Rattus norvegicus: one gene and its partners. The protein of the gene in region 2 interacts with the protein of the main gene of each other region in a pairwise test. Links are inferred from orthologs where the notes say so. Each region holds a gene or a part of one and is shown on either strand. Other genes may lie near its edges. The genes, in order: Sos1, Itsn2 and Synj2.

Region 1 (4,280 bases), about 13 Mb from region 2:
TAAGCAGTTAGAAGAGTAGAGTACAAGAGCATGTTAGAGGTTGATAAGTGTAAGGTTTTGCTTGAAGGCAGGCAGCAGTACACAGACAGGAGTCCTAGGCTTCAGTTTTGAACCAGTCAAATACAAGTTTAAAGCCATTAACCAAGAAGTTAGAAACTGGTGGTGGGGGTCAGTTTTATTATGAGTATCCCCTTACACACTTGGCAACATTTCCAAATAACTTTATCCACTGGCAAACTAAAAGTAACATATAATGGCTAGAAATTCAAAATCCCAAACCAAAAGGAGGAGGAAAGAGTTGAAGATTTACTAAGTTACAATGTTGCTTTAGAAGCTTTAAAAAAATGTAGCAACATTTCTAAATAATTTACTTTTAACCTCTGGCAAACTCAAAGTAACAGACAAAGACACTTGTTCAAAATGAGTCCTAACAGGTGTCAGGTACAGCACCGGTGTAGAAGTCCCATAGGGTAGCTAACATGAATATGGACAAGTAAATTAGGATAGGACACTAGGAAGAAACAATGGAGCACTATCCAACGCAACCCTGAGCGCCTGAGAAGAATCTCTGAGGCTGAGTAGTAGTAGGCCAGATCAAATGAGCAGACTGTCCAAAAAGCTTCAGCTAAGAAAACACACTGGTGGGCATTATACAAGCAGTTTAAAGTCTGAAGATTTCAGGATAAGGACACACCCACACAAAATGTCCAAGGACGCATCTTCATGAAAAGTCCAACACACATACAATATTCAAGTTTTAAGCTACAAGAGCATATTCTGAATATGAGAAATATATCCAGCCTTGTCTTGGGTGTCCTAAGAGCATTGCAGGTGGGAATGTGAATGAGGAGAACCTCATGCATTAGGGACCCTGTAAACTCCCTCTTCATCTCACTTCTGCAGGGACGGCTCTGCTTCAAGCGGAAAGCCAGCCAACCGCGAAGCTATAGAACACAAGCCACACTATGGTGAACTGGGGACAAAACCCTTTCCACAGAAGGCAGTCACTCACAACTCCAGCAGTTTTCTGATGGTGAAAATGTATGGCAAGTCCATCTCTAATTCAAGAAAAAAATAAGAACTCAGATTGTATGTGACATTTCTCATCTTTTTTTTTTTTTTTTCAGAGCTGGGGACCGAACCCAGGGCCTTGTGCTTGCTAGGCAAGCGCCCTACCACTGAGCTAAATCCCCAACCCCGACATTTCTCATCTTAAGATACTGGCAACTGATTACATAAAATGAAAAACAAAACAACGAACAAAAAGACCCAGAATGCCAGCCACACAAAATAGGTTTCTGCGAGGGCCACCCATGAGGCAGGTTACAGTAGTCTGCCAACTTCTACAATGCTCTTCCTACCACTCCAAAGGATCCTCAAGTGATATTGTGGAGGTCTCCTTAGAATAGGAGCTACCTGCTTTTAAGCCGAATACCTCAAACTGGTAATGTTCTGTGAGAGCTTTTGTACATATAAATCAATTTTTCTGTCTCATCTTGTCCTGTCAAGATACCAAACTTCTAGCGTCATGAGGCATACTTCTCCAATTCTACAAACTAAGCAGGCAAGTGTGCAGGTAAAGCCAAGGTAAAAATGGACTGAAGCCTCATGGGATCTCTAATGAACAAAGTATGCACAACGAGGTGACCTCTTTGATTTCCTTAGAAAACCTAGAGATTTGTAAGACATTTGAGGATAAAAACCAGTAACCCAAGTCTGAAAAATAAAAGCAAAGTCTCCCAAAAAAGCAAACAGTTTTCCAGCATAAGATACCAAGAGGGGAAGGGGAGAACAGTGCAAAGGAGAAACTAAAAGGTGCTGGCCTCTGTGGAGTATGAAAACACTTTCTGGTTATAGAAAAGCTCTGCATGGTACAGCAAACTCTGTACTCAATACTCAGTAGTAACAAAACTGTATTTTAGCAAAGAGAGCATGAAAATCATCTGAGCAACAAGAAATCGAGATTAAAACTCCTGGAAGAGTAAAACAATCTCTACAGGTAAGGCAAATAAAAACAAAAACCAATCTGGTTTTAAAAATCCATTCAAACACACCTGTTTCAGATGTCTTGGTACAAGCGTTGCTTTAGAAGCTTTCGAAATGTATCAACAGCCACGGATAACTACTGGCAAACATAAATTCAAAATGCCAAACCAGACAGTTGCTTTAGAAGCTTTTAAAATGTAGCAAATAATTTCCAAATAATTTACTTCAACCTCTGGCAAACTCAAAGACACAAAGACTAAAGATGCAAAACACCAAACCAAACGAGGTTCGAAGATTCTCAGCTACTTCAAAAGAACCAATCTGAATACAGTGGCATGTGCATCACTCCTGTAATGGGAGGGGGGAGGGTGTCAAGAGAACGGGGAGTTATGACTGAGGACGAGCAAAACCAAGCAGGCCATGTTCTTACTGGCAGGCAACCTCGCAATTACTTAGGCAAGCACTGTGGCCAGGGCACTTTCGAGCCAGTGAGAGCCCTGGACTCCTAAAACGAGAGACTGACCGCAGCTCGGTAAGATCGAGAAGGTAGGCAATGGCCTTCTTTGACCTCCACGGAAAACCGAGGCTCCTCCAACCCTCGCCTCGGTGCTTGGATGATCCAGACCAACCCTCCCCGACTGTGTGCGGCCTTCCCACGCACCCCGGGCGAGTGTCAACAGCTGGAGCAGCGGACGCGGGGAACCTCACAGCCTGAGCAGACCTCCCCGAGACCCGAGACCGGGAAGAAAGACCGCGGTGGCGCCCCGCCTCCCCGCCCTCACCCGGCCCCGAGCGGACTGGGGCCGGGAAGCGGGTTCCGCGCCCCTACCTTTTTCAGCGCAGGCACCAGCAGCCCCCGCCACTTGGGCGCGTTCTCCTCGCTGAAAAACTCGTAGGGCAGCTGCTGCGCCTGCATGGTGCCTGCGGGGCGCCTCGGGACGGACGGAGGGGCGGCGGCTCGCGGCGCGGAGAAGGGCCGCAGCCCGCGCACAGCCCGGCCCCCTCGGGGCGCCGCGCGGCCCGGCTAGCGCTGGCGAGGAGTCTGGGGGGCGAGGCCCGCGGCCGGGCACCCACCGGACACGCGCGCCGCTCGTCGAGAGGCAACGCAGCCCGGCGGTGGCGGCGGCGGCATCCCGCACCACCGCCCCGGGGCAGGCCCCCCGCTCCGCCCCGGGCCGCCCTCCGCCGGGGCTGAGCTCCCCCGCACGGCCTGGCCCTCCGAGAGACGGCGCGTGGAGGGACGCTCGGGCCGGTGGCGCCCGCTCGCGGGCGGGGAACTCAAGCGAGAGGCCCAGAGCGGGGCGGGCCGGGACCGGGATCGGGTGAGGAAGGAGAAGGGCCCGAGGTCGCTGCCGGGGAATCCGGCCGCTCGGCCGTCGTCGCTGCTGCTGCCGCTGCCGCCGCCGCCGGTGTAGCGCTGGAGCTTCCTACTAGCAAACTGAACCTGCTCGCAACTGAGCATGCGCCAGCGGCCCAGGCCGGTTCGCTCCGGGTTTTCCATCTGCCCGCGGATGAGGAGGGGTGCGCGCCAGAGGCTGGGGAGGGCACTCGCAGAGGCGGGGCTGAGGGACCCTGAAAGCGAACCCGCGACCCGAGAAAGTGTCTGGGTGTGGGGGCCTGCGAGCAGGCAAAGCGCCCCCTTTGTGTGGTCCGGCAGGCGGGGAGCCCATCCAGTTCTAGGAGATCCTAGGCCCTGTGTTTTAGAAAAGGGGTGTGTGTACTTTGTTCCCAGCACGAAGATAAGGAGTGCCCTGAGCATGCACTGTATACTAAACAGATTGCACAAAAGATAGATTCCTCTCACAAAAAAACGACTGCTCAGGGTTTGTCTGGTGGGAGGAGAGACTGCTTTTTTCCATCTGCCTTTCCATGCCATGAGAACGGATACGTGTAGTATTTATTGATCGTGTGTCTACTCAAACCCACGAGCTTTTATTTGTGGATTTAGTCGTCCTGCTTGGGATCTTTCATAGCTTCAACTGGATAATTAGCTTCTGGAAGACAGAGATTCCCCCCCCACCCCTCACCTCGCCTTGGTACTCGACCCAGAATAGAGACGTGAAAATTGCGGAATGCTATAAAAGCAGTATCTATGAATTGTCCTTCCATCGTGAGGATGGAGATGCTTATTATAGTGGCACTGTGCAGCGCTATGGCACATTGTGCCTTATCATTGAACTCTTTCTGAGTACAGCGTTGTTTTAATTCTCAGTTTTCATTTCATAGATGACGAGACAGTTGGAAGAACCAGCCTGGGTTCAAATTGACATTAGGTCTTGCTGTTTTGAAGTACA
Region 2 (3,647 bases):
GGTGGTTTCTGTTTTCCTGCTTAGCAATCAAACCCTTGTGATCCAAGCACACCCTGGACAGGAAATGCCAGCATTGTGAGATCAGGTTCACAAAAACTCTAGGCGTACCACTGCTTCCAGTTCAAGGTGGAGACTTTTCTTTTTAGAATTCAGCCTGACAATTTCCTCTTGTTCTCTATTCTTTTGATTGAGAAGCTCCTGTCGACGGATTCTTTCCCATTCTAAACGCCGTTGTCTTTCAAGCTCCTGTTTTGCTGCCTAAATAAAATTAACAAATTACTGTTAACATTTAAATTTATGAAACTCTGCGTTATTCAAAGTCTCATGGGATGACAGCATTTCGGAGTGGATGGCCACACTGCCTAAAGTAAGTAGAGGTAGTTTCCCAATGCACCTAAGCATAGCCACAGAGGTAGCTTTTATTCATCACTTCTAATTGCTTCACAGAACCATCTTTTTGTTAGATAGTCATTCCTCTTTTAAAAAGTCAAAGGAATTAGAGCGCTGGCCTAGGAAGCGCAAGGCCCTGGGTTCGGTCCCCAGCTCCAAAAAAAAAGAACCAAAAAAAAAAAAAAAAAAAAAAAGTCAAAGGAAGGCTTCATAAGTATAAAAAACAAGAGAAATACTTATACCTTTATTCTGGTATCAGAGGAGAAACGATTTCATTTATAACTTTTCAGAACGCTGTAATTTACTGACTTCCATTCCTGGCCCTTAACAACAGTGTTTCTTGGAACCCTAGGCTGACTTCTTGACTCACCTTTGTGTCTTCACCTCCCTAAAGTTTGAGTCTGGTCCTTCGATTCTTCACAGTTTGATTGTGAATTCTAAGACTGCCTTCACCCAGTGACCTCGTCTGCCTGACTTTCTGATGTCCACTAACTGTAGCTCTTGGCTTAGCTCAGCTGTGCAAACAGTCCTCTGACTGGGGCCTCACTTACACATGATCCAGGTTTCCACAACTCTGCCATGAAGCCCTTCCTGTCCTTATACACAGAGATCCATTCTCTTTCCCTCATCAAGGGAAAGGAGATGCAGCTCTGTTCAGGGTAAAGAACAGTGACATGATTTAGATGGGAAAGCACAGCACCACGTCAGCATATTCTTACTAAACGCTGCGTACTCAGTCAGAAAATTACCTCTCGTCTTTCTATCTCTTTTCTCCTCTCTTCCTCCCTCTGTCGCTCCAGTTCCCTTTGTTTCTCCAAGCGTTTCTCCAACTCCAGCTGCTTTTTCCATTCTTGCTCTTGTAGTTCTCTCTGTTTTCGCTCCCACTCTTCCTTTTCTTTCTGGGCTTTGCGCTCAGCCTCCCTTTGCTGCTGCTCCATCAACACTTGGCGTCGCTTCTCCAGCTCCATGTTTCCTCGTTCATAGTTGGCTTTCCGTTTGTCCTCAAAAGTAACTAAAAAGGAGAGGGAGCGGGGAGGGGGGACTATGCTTTGTCTCAAGCCTACAGCCTCTCATCTAGTTTAACGCACTCTGCTTAGTAGTCGCCTAGGAGGTCTTTTGCTCTTGCTCTCAGATACTTCTAACTCACATGGAAATAGGAAAGTACTTCCTGTAAAATACTCACTTAAAACTCCAATTTTCTACATCTAACTCTATTCAAACACCAATAAAATACTGGTTTGCCTTTTCTCAGTGCTTTCTTCAAGTAACCATGGTTGTGTTTCCTCTGCATACACACACACACACACACACACACACACACACACACACACACATTAACTTTCTGAAGAAGGTGGTTTTTGGTTTGGTTTGGTTTATAGTGCTGGAGATTAAACTTAGTATGAGCTAAACATTCTACTATTGAGCTATAATTCCAGTCTTTTTACTACCTTTTAAATAATTTAAAATAATCATATGTGCATTCTTTCAATGAATATTTAAAACTTTTTCATTAAAATTTTTCATTAAAAATTTTACGAACCTTGATCTGATTCTACCCAATGTGGAAAAAACACTAACTTTTCAAATATATACATGCTCCCTCTCTTCCTTCATCATTTTTAGTTTTATTCTTCATTGAGATATACAAGTAATTTAAAACATCCCAACGAGCTGGTGATGTTACGTAAGTGTATGTGTTCAATCCCCAGTAATACAGGTGCACGCATGCGCGCACACACATGGACATAGACACAAATGTCACCCATTCACTATTTTCATGTAGCATATAATTTTTTTTTTTTTGGTTCTTTTTTTCGGAGCTGGGGACCGAACCCAGGGCCTTGCGCTTCCTAGGCAAGCGCTCTACCACTGAGCTAAATCCCCAGCCCCGCATATAATTTTTAAGTCTATAAATACTCTAAATATTTGTTTGTACTTCAAAAGTAAAATTTAAAGAAATTACGATTGTGATTTTAAAATAAATTAATTAAAAGTATAAAATTATCACCTGGCAATTTCTTCTGCGGTTCCTCTTCCTGTGTTTTCTGATATGAAGGCAGAGTTCCATTAATGGAGTCAATCTGCTTCCCTCCTCTAAGAAGGACACACAACAAAGAGCATCATAAAGCCTGAGAATTTTCAGATAAAAAATGCAGATCACCAACAATTAAAACAAGTCCATATTTAAGATACAGTAGCAAGGATATTTACACCACAGCATGCCTTTAGTCACAATATACAAAGTACTAGGATATTAATCAGAGAGATCCAGTGTGGGCGAGTTTTTCTTAATCTTTTCAGTTAAACTTTTCTCTTTTATAGCATAGGGAGAACAACCCCTCTGTTATCTACTTCCCAGCGTGACTCACACAGTATAAGACCGAAGGGCAGAGCAAACCTGTGACTCTCCTCTAAACTGAAGCACAGGCTCCAGAGAGGTAAAAAAACAACACCTAAGTGACTGAAGCAAACCACGGCTCTGCAGACACGCACCTGAAAGATGGAGGGACGAGCTCAGGAGGCAACGTGAGTGGTAGCGGCTGTCCAGCTTTGGCCATGTCAGTGAGGTGCATCGCCAGAATAAACTCTTCAGCTTTCAACTGTCCGTCACCATCAATGTCAGCCAGAGTCCTAAAGGCAACATGACCAATCACAAGTTACAAAGTCTACTTAGAGTTTTTACTGACTTTTATTTTTATGAAGAACGACATGATAAATTCTAGATTAATATATTTTAGGAAAACGTAAATACATACCAAAAAAAGTCAACTTTTACTCTTAATTTTCATAGTCCAAAAGAAAGAGAAGACAGTGAATCATCATAGCAAATGCTCCTTCTGGGAGGGTGGTTTATGACATTTCATGTTGCAATCTCTGGATTGCAACATAAGTCAATAAAGAAAGCTACACTGTTGCTTATAAAATCAAGGTTAAGTTCCAAGCATGTACACTTTCCTGCTGAATGTAACTTCCAAATGCTCACTTTTATGGAACATTCTGGCATAACAAATTTTTATAGAAACAATGATTTTATGTTTGTTCTTTCAGAAGCCATCTTCCAGAGCGGCTTTTTATGATAGACTGTATATAATTTGAAATCACTGATGGGTACACTCACCAAATAGTGGCTAGCTGAGTTTGAGAAAGATTTGATTGAAGAAGGGCATTTCTAGCTTGAAAACCTGATTGAGAAAAGCATAAAAAGAAACAACTTTAGTTTGTTAAGTCTTGCAGATAATGTTGCTGCTTCCTTGGAA
Region 3 (3,647 bases), on a different chromosome or scaffold from region 2:
ATGCCCAATTCTACACATGGAATTCATCTGTGCCATATACACCTTGATAAACACACACACACACACACACACACACACACACACACACACACACACACTCATGCACTTACGCATGCATGCACACACACACATGCACACATGCACACATAGTAGTTTTATACATTTTCAGTGCTGCTGGCTTTGACTGTGATCCATCACATGAGGTCAGAGGTGGAGGATTCTCCCCTGTGATGCTATTCCCCCACCCCTACATCATATCTCATCAATACTGAAAAAGCTTCAGCTGCTGTAGCGTTTAAGATTTCAGAGTCCTAGACTGGGACTGTCCATGCTGGAGTAGCCTTGGAGAAAGACAGGATTGCAGCATGCCCAACACTCATGGCAAGCCTTGCTCCGTTAGCCCCTTGCAGCAGCATAGAATAGAGGCCGCATCTCCTATAGGTTACGACTAGTTCTAGCACTTAGCTCCTAGCATCACAAAATCTCTGCACATTGAGAAAAAGACGAACTACTCCCTGGAAACCCCTCCGAGTACTTAGGAACGGAAGAGTCTTGTAGCTAACAATAACACTGGAAGGCATCACTCTAGAAGGTGACACCATGGTGCTTGCTAAACATTTTGACAAATGAAAACATAAATATCTGTATTAAAGTTTATGAGGCAGCCTACAGCTGCTGATTCTGTGCCATAGCTCTCTGTACCCAGATCTTGCTGGGAGAGAGCTGGTCTCCCAGGAGTGCTGACACACCTGAGAGCACCACTTCTGCTCAGAGGGACCTGCCTGGAGCCCTTAGGACACAGGAACCAAGGAACAGTCTGGGACAGGATCCTTCCAGTTTCTGTCTGTGCCTGGAGAGGATATTGTGCCACAGCTCTCTGTACCCAGCTTCTGCCAGGAAAGAGCTGGTCTCCCAGGAGTGCTGACACACAGGTTTACAGGAGGATCAAGCCACTGTCAGAGACAGCTAACACCAGAGATAACCAGATGATGAAAGGCAAGTGCAAGAACCTAAGCAACAGAAACCAAGGCCACTTGACATCATCAAAACCCAGCTCTCCCACCACAAGTCCTGGATACCCCAACACACCAGAAAAGCAAGATTCTGATTTAAAAATCACATCTCATGATGATGTTAGAGTACTTTAAGAAGGACATAAATAGGGCTGGAGAGATGGCTCAGCGGTTAAGAGCACCCGACTGCTCTTCCAGAGGTCATGAGTTCAATTCCCAGCAACCACATGGTAGCTCACAACCATCTGTAAAGAGATCTGATGCCCTCTTCTGGTGTGTCTGAAGACAGCTACAGTGTACTTATATATAATAAATAAATAAATCTTTAAAAAAAAAAAAAGGACATAAATAGCCCCTTAAAGAAATACAGGACAACACAGGCCAACAGGTAGAAGCCCTTAAACAGGAAACACAAAAATTGCTTAAAGAGTTACAGGAAAATATAGCCAAATGGGTGAAAGAATTGAACAAAACCATTCAGGATCTAAAAATGGAAATAGGAACAATAAAGAAATCACAAAGGGAGACAACCTTGGAGATAGAAAACCAAGGGAAGAGATCAGGAGTCATAGATGCAAGTATCACCAACAAAATACAAGAGAGAGAATCTCAGGGGCAGAAGATACCATAGAAAACATTGACACAGCAGACAAAGAAGATGCAAAAAGAGGGGTTGGGGATTTAGCTCAGTGGTAGAACGCTTGCCTAGGAAGTGCAAGGCCCTGGGTTCGGTCCCCAGCTCCAAAAAAAAGAACCAAAAAAAAAAAAAAAAAAAAAAAAGAAAATGCAAAAAGCTCCTAACCCAAAACATCCAGGAAATCCAGGACACAATGAGAAGACCAGACCTAAGGATAAGAAGAGAGCGAAGATTCCCAACTTAAGGGCCAGTAAATATCTTCAACAGAATCATAGAAGAAAATTTCCATAGAATTATAGAAGAGATGCCCATAAACATACAAGAAGCCTACAGAACTCTAAATAGATTGGACCAGAAAGACATTCCTCCCATCACATTCTAGTCAAAACACCAAACACAAAACAGAGATATTAAAAGCAGTATAGGGGGAAAGATCAATTAACATATAAAGGCAGACCTACCAGAATCACATGAGACTTCTCAACAGAGACTATGAAAGCTAGATGATCCTGGGTATATGTCATACCGACCCTAAGAGAACAGAAATGCCAGCCCAGTCTATTATACCCAGCAAAACTCTCAATTACCACAGACGGAGAAACCAAGATATTCCATAACAAAACCAAATTTACACAACATCTTTCCATAAATCTAGTCCTGTAAAGGATAATGGATGGAAAACTCCAACAAAAGGAGGGAAACTACACCCTAGAAAAAGCAAGAAAGTCATCTTTAAACTAACCCAAAAGAAGATAATTCCACAAACATAATTCCATCTCTAACAACAACAACAACAACAACAACAAAAAAACAGGAAACAACAATCATTGATTCCTAATATCTCTCAACATCAATGGACTCAATTCTTCAAAAAAAAAAAAAAAGACATAGACTGAAAGACTGGATATGGAAGCAGGACCCAGAATTTTGCGGAATGCAGGAAACACTCCTCAATGACAAAGACAGACACTACCTCAGAGTAAAAGGCTGGAAAAAAAATCTCCAAGCAAATGGTCTCAAGAAACAAGCTGGAGTAGCCATTCTAATATTGAATAAAATCAACTTTCAACCAAAAGTTATCAAAAAAGCTAAGGAAGGACACTTCTTACTCATCAAAGGAAAAATCTACCAAGATGAACTCTCAATTCTGAACATCTATGCTCCAAGTGCAAGGACACCCACATTCATAAAAGAAACTTTATTAATGCTCAAAGCATATATTGCACCACACGTAATAGTAGTAGGAGACTTTAACACCCCACTTTCATCAATGGACAGATCATCGAAACAGAAATTGAACAGAGTCACAGTAAAACTAACAGAAGTTATGAACCAAATGGATTTAACAGATATCTATAGAACATTTTATCCAAAAACCAAAGAAAATATCTTCTTCTCAGCACCTCATGGTACTTTCTCTAAAACTGACCATATAATCAGTTACAAAACAGGTCTCAACAGATATAGGAAGATAGAAATAATCTCATGTATCCTATCAGATCACCAGGGACTAAGGTTGGTCTTCAATAACAACAAAAAGGCAATGCTCGTAGAGTCAAGCTCCTGGAACAGGCTGTAGGAATCCATGTTTGTCCTTTCCCAAATTACCATTCTTACATACCCTGAGAGTCCACTGCTCCTGAGAGCTGGGGTGCATCCAGGAGCCAGTCAGTGAGTTCAGTGGTCCCCAGGAGATTGCTACGGAATTGTTTTCCTCCGTTCACATTCCAGGTCCCCATAGCAATCTGGATCCGCTTGAAATTTGTGAATTCTGACTGGCGTTCTGTCATGGCCTTCAGGATCCTGGGTGTTGCTGTTAGTAACCAAAAGAGGCATATGTTTTCTGCAGCCTAGACTGTAGAAACCCTCCTGTATTGTATGAGATGTGGCCTGTCAGAGAATGTCACTCATGAGCTGGGGACAACAGACCGACATACCCACCCTAACCACTCTACTTTCCTGTCTGCAATAAAGCATGAAAAGATAGGGCTGGAAAT

Evidence for each region.
Region 1: the proteins of Itsn2 (region 2) and Sos1 interact in a two-hybrid assay, tested with the Homo sapiens proteins (2 studies listed by BioGRID and IntAct). The link is inferred for Rattus norvegicus from reciprocal best matches to the Homo sapiens genes ITSN2 and SOS1.
Region 3: the proteins of Itsn2 (region 2) and Synj2 interact in a two-hybrid assay, tested with the Homo sapiens proteins (2 studies listed by BioGRID and IntAct). The link is inferred for Rattus norvegicus from reciprocal best matches to the Homo sapiens genes ITSN2 and SYNJ2.

Annotation. Positions count from the first base shown.
Region 1 is NC_086024.1:20,284,752-20,289,031, reverse strand, and holds the start of Sos1 (son of sevenless homolog 1), read right to left. Parts: upstream 2,916-4,280; 5' UTR 2,903-2,915; coding exon 2,816-2,902; intron 1-2,815.
Region 2 is NC_086024.1:33,370,868-33,374,514, reverse strand, and holds part of Itsn2 (intersectin-2), read right to left. Parts: intron 3,573-3,647; coding exon 3,509-3,572; intron 3,022-3,508; coding exon 2,884-3,021; intron 2,485-2,883; coding exon 2,399-2,484; intron 1,403-2,398; coding exon 1,140-1,402; intron 1,041-1,139; coding exon of another isoform or gene 942-1,040; intron 259-941; coding exon 109-258; intron 1-108.
Region 3 is NC_086019.1:48,993,285-48,996,931, reverse strand, and holds part of Synj2 (synaptojanin-2), read right to left. Parts: intron 3,464-3,647; coding exon 3,272-3,463; intron 1-3,271. UniProt on the Homo sapiens protein: Inositol 5-phosphatase which may be involved in distinct membrane trafficking and signal transduction pathways. May mediate the inhibitory effect of Rac1 on endocytosis.